Danio rerio: one gene and its partner. The protein of the gene in region 2 interacts with the protein of the main gene of each other region in a biochemical or structural test. Links are inferred from orthologs where the notes say so. Each region holds a gene or a part of one and is shown on either strand. Other genes may lie near its edges.

The links. The genes of interacting proteins can lie anywhere in the genome.
Region 1: the proteins of ptenb (region 2) and rps26 form a complex in vitro, tested with the Homo sapiens proteins (2 studies listed by BioGRID). The link is inferred for Danio rerio from reciprocal best matches to the Homo sapiens genes PTEN and RPS26.

The regions. Positions count from the first base shown.
Region 1 is NC_133198.1:30,595,659-30,599,669, reverse strand, and holds rps26 (40S ribosomal protein S26), read right to left. Parts: upstream 2,420-4,011; 5' UTR 2,409-2,419; coding exon 2,406-2,408; intron 1,841-2,405; coding exon 1,663-1,840; intron 830-1,662; coding exon 699-829; intron 597-698; coding exon 561-596; 3' UTR 503-560; downstream 1-502.
Region 2 is NC_133187.1:19,011,037-19,014,693, forward strand, and holds part of ptenb (phosphatidylinositol 3,4,5-trisphosphate 3-phosphatase and dual-specificity protein phosphatase PTEN), read right to left. Parts: intron 871-3,657; coding exon 826-870; intron 548-825; coding exon 504-547; intron 419-503; coding exon 180-418; intron 1-179. UniProt on the Homo sapiens protein: Dual-specificity protein phosphatase, dephosphorylating tyrosine-, serine- and threonine-phosphorylated proteins.

The sequences.
Region 1 (4,011 bases), on a different chromosome or scaffold from region 2:
TTTGGACTGTGGGGGTAACCAGAGCACACAGAGGAAACCCATGCGAACACGGAGAACATGTAAACTCCACACAGAAATGCCAACTGACTCGAACAAGCGACCTTCTTGCTGTGAGGTAACAGTGCTAACCGCTGCACCACCTTTATCTGTAATACATTAGGTTATTCCTAATTTAATGCTTTACCATTCATTTATTCAAAAACGTAACCCCTTAATGGTCAGCCCATTTTTATGGTTGAACAATGCATGATATATAGTAGTCAACATTTAGGTGGATCATAAAAAGAACAAGTATAGTTTCAGTTCCACTTTAAGGAAAGGTTTTAATCCACTTCAAATGTTGACTACTGTAGTTTATCAAGGTAACACAATATACTGAAAAACATCCCACTTATGGAACTGAGCGTTTAAATAGGTAATAAAAAATATGAACAAAATTTGTAGTATTGTCTATTCAAAATGCATTTCGGTAAACTTTAGTAACCAATAACAAAAGAACACATTAACATTTAAGTCAATTTTATTTCTTTACATAAAAAAATTATGTAAACGGCTCCAGATCACATTGGTTTTGGAGGAGCTCTTGGGGCACCACCCTGGAAAAAGAAACAGAAAACAGTTACATATAGATAAAAAAGCATAAAATAGCATGTTTTATTTATTCATGTTTGTAACACTGATGTGAAGACCAGACTTACAGTAGGCCTGAAGCGTGGAGGTGGTGTACGGTCCTTCCTGGCCTCGCGAGAGCGGTTCCTCACCACTTTACTGTGGATGGCACAGCTGACACAGTAGTGCAGCTTCACATAGAGTTTGGGCAAAACATAGGCTGCACAAAAACAAAACATAACTGTTAATATTGTACAATGCCTCTGTCATGCTTTGCCATGCATCATGTAGTATGTAATGTAACCTTTTATAAATCTTAGTCTGCAAAGCTTCAATGATCAAAGTGCACAATACATAACTAATCTCTCCCTGAAAAAATAAGCACAAATGTATGTAGGTTTCTAGCAAATTAGCATAATTTCATACTTGAATGGTCTTCAAAGCCTGCGAAGTAAACAATGTCAACTTTGAGCCTTATAAACAACCTGTTGTGTTGAGATGCTGCTTATTTTGCTGCAACAGCTAATTAACTTATCAGCACTCCCAAAGGACGAAGTCTGCAGATCAAATTGCTACAGTAAAACGGGCACTACTGTTACAGCTCATATCACTGTATTTGAAAGTGTAGAGAAAGCTTCCAGAGAAATTAAATTATGGCAGTGGTGTCTAAACTATATCCTGTAGAGTTTAGGGCCAACTGCCTGGAAGCTAGTGTGTTTAATTGTAACTGAAACCAATTTTTTTTAGGACAGTGGTGCTCCAGGATTTTAGTTTGAACACCCTAGAGATATGAGAATGACTATGGCTTCCAACATTTGTTGTAAGTGGTTGACTCATCACAGCAGACTGGCCAATCTGAACAGGCACTCAAAAAGCAAAGGATTAGAAAGATTGGATCGTGGAATGGACCATTTTAGACTGGATGCTGCCACCTGTATTATACGATTTTTGATCTTTGATGATCTATTGTAGGAGACATCTAAAACAATAGTTTCAAAAGGGCACTAGGGACACAATCAGTGTCCTCATTTTCTAAAGCAACTGTTTACTCACAATCAAACACACTGGCTTCAGAGATGTCCCTGACTGCAGCAGCCTCCACAATATTCCTGATGACAAACTTCTTAATGGCCTTGTCCTTGGGCACACAGCGGGCGCAGTTTGTGCAGCGGATGGGCTGGACATGCCCTCGTCCCTTCTTAGCACGACCGTTATTCCTCCTCTTCTTAGTCTAAGATGTGGAAAAGTACAATGAGAAGTGGTTTTCAGGGGACAACCTAAAAACACTGATTTACTTCATTTCAGGCTTGGGCATGTTACTTAAAATTATATATTTACTTTATAACGCTTTGAAATAAACTTACATACTGCAATTGCTATAAAAAAACACAATAAAAATTATGTGTTATGATACACTTTTCATTTAACATGCAATAAGGCCTATTGTGTATTAAATGATATAGTGTGGTGATTTAATTTTAACTTTACAATTTTGAAATACATATATAAAAAGATCACTTTTATGTTTGCGTGCGTAAAGGCGTAACTTGTAGATGCATTACGTTTAAATGTAATAGTTGTGAATGCGTACGATGCTTTAGTGTAACGTTACATGCGTAGACACCTCAGGCGTTTTATCGCTTCAATGGGTTAATTTGCCTAAAAACCGATTAGTGTTTGCTGATGAATGAATAAACTTCACTCCGAAACGCGTACCCGGCGAGATAATACGCCGTATCGTAAAGATCGAGCCAGAATACAGGACTAGCCTCTGACTGAACGATTGGTAAACTCACCATCTTGATTTTAGAGAGGCATGAAAGAGGACCGGAAAAGCTCTTACGTCATTTTTATAGTTCACACGGCGGCCGGAAGTATGTAGTTAAGAAAATAAAAGCCCTAAAAGTAAACCCATTTTATTATTTCAATAATCGATTACAGATCTTAATATTGTGCAATTTTAATATATAAACATTTGAACGAATTCTTCATATTATGTTTTACCTGTGATATAATGCACATACAAAGAGAGATGGTGCTCGACGTAAAGTGAGGTAACATGACCTCCCTGAAAGAACAGGAGAAATATGACATCTTGGTAAACCCAAATACTGCAAGGTAAATATACATGTCACAGATGAGACCCATTGTGGTGCTGCAATTAATACTGTATTAAGAGGTAGCAGTCCTCTATCTCCAATTTTATATGTATGCATGGGTTTATTTGTTTGTTTTATTACTAAAAGCTAACAGTAGTAACAAATATGCAAGTCTTTCTTTCTTTTTTCTTGAACTGGGGTTGATGTAGCAAAAACTAACATGGTCACTTTGTCACAGTAATTAACACAGATGAACCATTTTCGTAAAGAATTGTTTATCCATTGTGTGTGTGTGTGTGTGTGTGTGTGTGTGTGTGTGTGTGTGTGTGTGTGTGTGTGTGTGTGTGTCTGTCATAAAAATGAAACTGCCAAACTTATTTCTTTTTTTATATCTAGTTTTTATAGATTTTTTTTTGGATCATATAACCAGTGGAAACAAACAAGTGGAAACGAACAAACTAATTACAAATACTCAAATTACTGTGTTTGAGTGGTTTTTGTTTACTTTTCTTAAACAAATATTAATTACTGTCATCATGTCAACGTTAAAATTAATCAGTTATTAGAAATTAGTTATTAAAACTATTATGTTTAGAAATGTGTTGAAAAAAAAATATTTTCTTCTTTAAACAGAAATTGGGGAACAAATATGGGGGGGGTAATAATTCAGGGGGGCTAATAATTCTGAGTTCAACTAAACATTAATGACTTATTACTCTATATAATTTAGAAAATGTTTTAGTCGTTCTCTTCTTGTACGTCTGAATGAAAATCTAAACAAGCTGATTGTTCCAATTTTCATCCTGTATTTCTTTCATATAATAGTCCCGCAACTGTAAATATCTAAATAGGTTTTGTTTTAGAAAACCAAACTTATCTTTTAAAGTTTGGAAGCATTCCATTCTGCCAACTTTTATAGTTGCACAAAATGAAGAGATTCCTAATAATACCCATTGTCCCAGGTTTAAAATCCAATTCCAAATCCATTCAAAATTTGAATTTCCCGTACTTATTTCAATACTTAAAAAGTCAATTCTATAACATTTTATTGACAAAACATCCTGATGAAAAATGAGTACAGTACAGCCTATAGTGGCATTATATAAATCTTCTAATTTGCCATCAAATGATTCTTGTTAATCTGGAGACTATATGTTTTTTTGTACACTGGGTAATATTTAGTGGGTGATTTCTTTCAATCAAAATCAAAAGTTAAAAAAATAGGCAACAGTTGCATATAAATCTGTATAAAACCTTGAATTCATTTGATGCTTGAAATCTGTGACTTATTGAGATTTCCACT
Region 2 (3,657 bases):
TTGTTGTGTGGATACCAATTAATCCACAGACAGGTACCGTCCATCGGGGTTGGGGAACACTGCGCTAGCTAATCAAAATCTGAAACTATTTTGGGCTTCACATTTGTATACAAAATCTGCATATCAACTTTTTTAAAAACAAAATGCAAAGCAGAAATATGTTCATATATATTTCTCACCTTCTTGTCTCTGGTCCTAACTTCATCGTAGAAGTCCAGAGCCTCTTGTGCTTTTTTGAATTTGCCTCGGTGTAACAAGTACGCACAAATCATGACACCCGTTCTTCCCTTTCCAGCTTTGCAGTGAATGGCAGCCACATGATTGTCATTTTCACTGAGCCATTTATCCAAATCTTCACAGAAAGGTTTAATGAGCTCTAGCTGAGGAGGATTGTGATCCTCAAATGGATACTGTGCAACTGCAAAAGATAAATAAAGAGATCATTGAGAGACCATCAACGTTACCACACAAAAACTGACATTTATGCAATCCAAGCCTCTTACCTCTGCAGTTAAATTTGGCAGTATCGTAATGTCTTTCTGCACATCTAAACAACACAAAGTAAAGCAGATAAGTACACAAGTTCAACATAATACTTTTCTGCTTAGAACTTTGCACCAATGCCAAAACCAACAGAACAATCGGAGTTAAGTAAGGGATCTATGTGCAATGACAAAGCCCTCCATTCACAACGATCAAACAGCCGCCTTAATCTTCAAGTGAACATGATTGCAGCTTTCAGAACATTCTAGCAGTAAAAGCAGTTTGATGAAACCCATTTACAAAACCGATATCACAGAACTGAAGTTTTTGAAACACACTTACAGGTTATATATCTTGTAATGATCTTTATGCTTTGAATCAAGAAACCTGCAAAACAAGATAGAACAAAAGCATGTTATAGATTTTAATTAAAGGAATAGTTCATCCAACAAAAGCTCAACAAAAAAACAAAAAAAAACAAATGAAGGTATTTTAATGGAACTGGATTTCTGTTCTTTCATTGAAAGTCCTTCAAAATAGTTATGCTTAAATGTAATCAATCCGAATCAAGTGCTTTAAAGCAAGTCTCCTGAAATGGACTTGATGGACAGATTTCATTTAGGTTTTTATTCACTTACAAATACTGATTAACACCTTACTGGTTCATATGGAAGATCAAATGTGCTAGTGGGACATGAGACCAAGCCTCATTAATTCTCACGTCAATCAAGTACAATTGAGAGTCAAGTTTACAATATTTACAACATATGTCAGATGATCAATTGTTATATGTTAATAAAATCCTTAATTTATAACTTCATGTCTCTTCAGAAGATTAAAACTGATTTGCTTTTAAAAGTTAGCTATGGATGTAACAATACAATTTCTTTTAAACAAAATTTTATTTTACACCATTACTTTTAGGGATCCACAATATTACAGGAAATGGAACATCATCAGCATTGGTCAACTATGTCTCAAAATGTACATTTGAAAAAATCACGCTAATATGCCTTGCCGATATGTGTTGAGTATATGCCTGCAACAGCATGCATGTGCAAGAAGTGCTTGCCTTAAATCGGAGATGCCCAAAGTAGGGCCTGCGGGCCAAAGTTGGCCCATTGTAACATTTGATTTGGCTCACCATCCCATCTTGGAAGAGGGTAAAGTGATGGAGAGGGTTGTTTTATTGCTGAGCTACAAAAAAGCTAATTAAACTCAAATAATTAAAATGTACATAAGGACTAAGCCGAAGACATCAGTAAGCAAATCAAGGCAAAAACTACTGTAACTCAATTCTGTTATAAATTAGTAGTTTTTACGGTAGTAACTTCATTATAAAATGTAAAAAAATTATACTGTATTATTTAATATAAAGCAATGTTTTCTAGTAATATTTAATTCTTTTAAATACATTTTTAAATTACCCAAGGCGATTCTATTTACATTCAGCCCATTAGCATCAAACAAGTTTGGTTTTTGGCCCTTTCTCAAAAAAAGTTTGGGCAACCCTGCCTTAAAGAATGTAATATGATAAGTTAAGTTTGTTTTATATTATTCAAAAGCATATGTGCACCACACATCCTAAAAAAAGTGAAGTCAAAACATTGTGTGTCCTTGGTGGCGGGATATCTGTCCTGAATCGGATGAGTGTTCTACTCAAAACAAATCAAATCACACTTCTAATCACTTGTTCCCAGAGAGGACTTGCCATTTTATGTACATTCAGATGTTCATTTTTCTAATATATTCATTGAGTTACATGCTGCTATACAAATTAGCTGTGCGCTTTCAGTGAGATTTTTGTTTTGTGCTCCTGCCACTTACGATCACTACTGCACAGATTTGGGCATTTAAGCAAAGAAATGACAGCAGCCAGGCTGGAACAATTTAGCTATATTGAAAGAAGTAGAGCCTTTTTTGGGGGTGTGGGGGGGTCTAGCAGTATTCAGGTACAAAAATTTAACAATTTAATGTAAAATAACATGGTATGTATAAACCATTTAACAATAATAGTATTTAATAATATCTTTATTTGTTTTAAATAATCCAATCCTGCGATGTGACTATTGCAGATACATGCATTGCAATATCGCTACTCAACTGATTTATCCTTCAACCCTACCCCCAAGACATTCAATCATCTTTGGAATATAAATTACGATATGAAATCTGACAGCTCCCTCGTCCTGCATTGACAGCAAGCTCCATTGACCACTTTCAAAAAGAAAACCTTGAAATCCAGAAAGGTACCAAAAATTTCTTCAAAACAGACCATATGCCTTCAGCAGTTCAACTAGAATTTTAACAAGCTATGAGAATCCTTTTGTGCACAAAAAAAAAAAAAAAAAAAACATTAGTCAAAGATTCTTGTCCTCAGTGTCAGTATATTGTGCATGTTTATTGGCACTGTACACGGATGTGACCTAACAAATTGCCCTATACTGACACTGAGAAAAAGAAAATGTTCAATAAAGTTGTTATTTTCAATTTATACGTGTACAAATGTATTTTCAAAGCTTGCTAATATTTCGATTGAGGCATATAATGCATATGCTCAGTTTTTAGGTATTTTCTTGGACTTTGCTGTTTGTGGAGGATAAGGAAGCTCTTAGATTTCATTTAAAATATCTTTGAGTTCTATAGATGAATGAAGGTCTCAGTGGTTTGAGAGTAATTCATGATATAATTTTCAATTTTTTGTGAACAAAGCTTTTAAAACAAAATACCAGGTGTTTTGGAAACAAAAATTTGAATTTTTATTATCTGCAAAGCTACAACACTCAATTTTCAATTTTACTATGCTGTCATTCTTTGCATTGGGAATCGACAGAAAGGAGTAAAGATGAAAAAAAGTTAATGTGAACTTCTATCTGTGTTCATTGCGTGTTCTCATTATTGTATTTAATTTGTAGATAAAGTTCTATGGTTTTGCATAAAAGGTACTTTATCTTGTTGGGGTTTATTGTGGTTTTTAACTCGTGTTACTTGCTACCAGGTGTCTGTTAGATAATGCATGAGTAGAAAAGACTATAAATTGAAACTTAAAGTGGTTAAAAGAAAAGGCTCTGGCTGTGGCAAAATATCATACGCTATGCATTGGTATTTCTTCCCTTTTTGCTTTTGAACTTTACAATGGGAAGCACCACACGCTGTGACTTGATGTTACTTCAA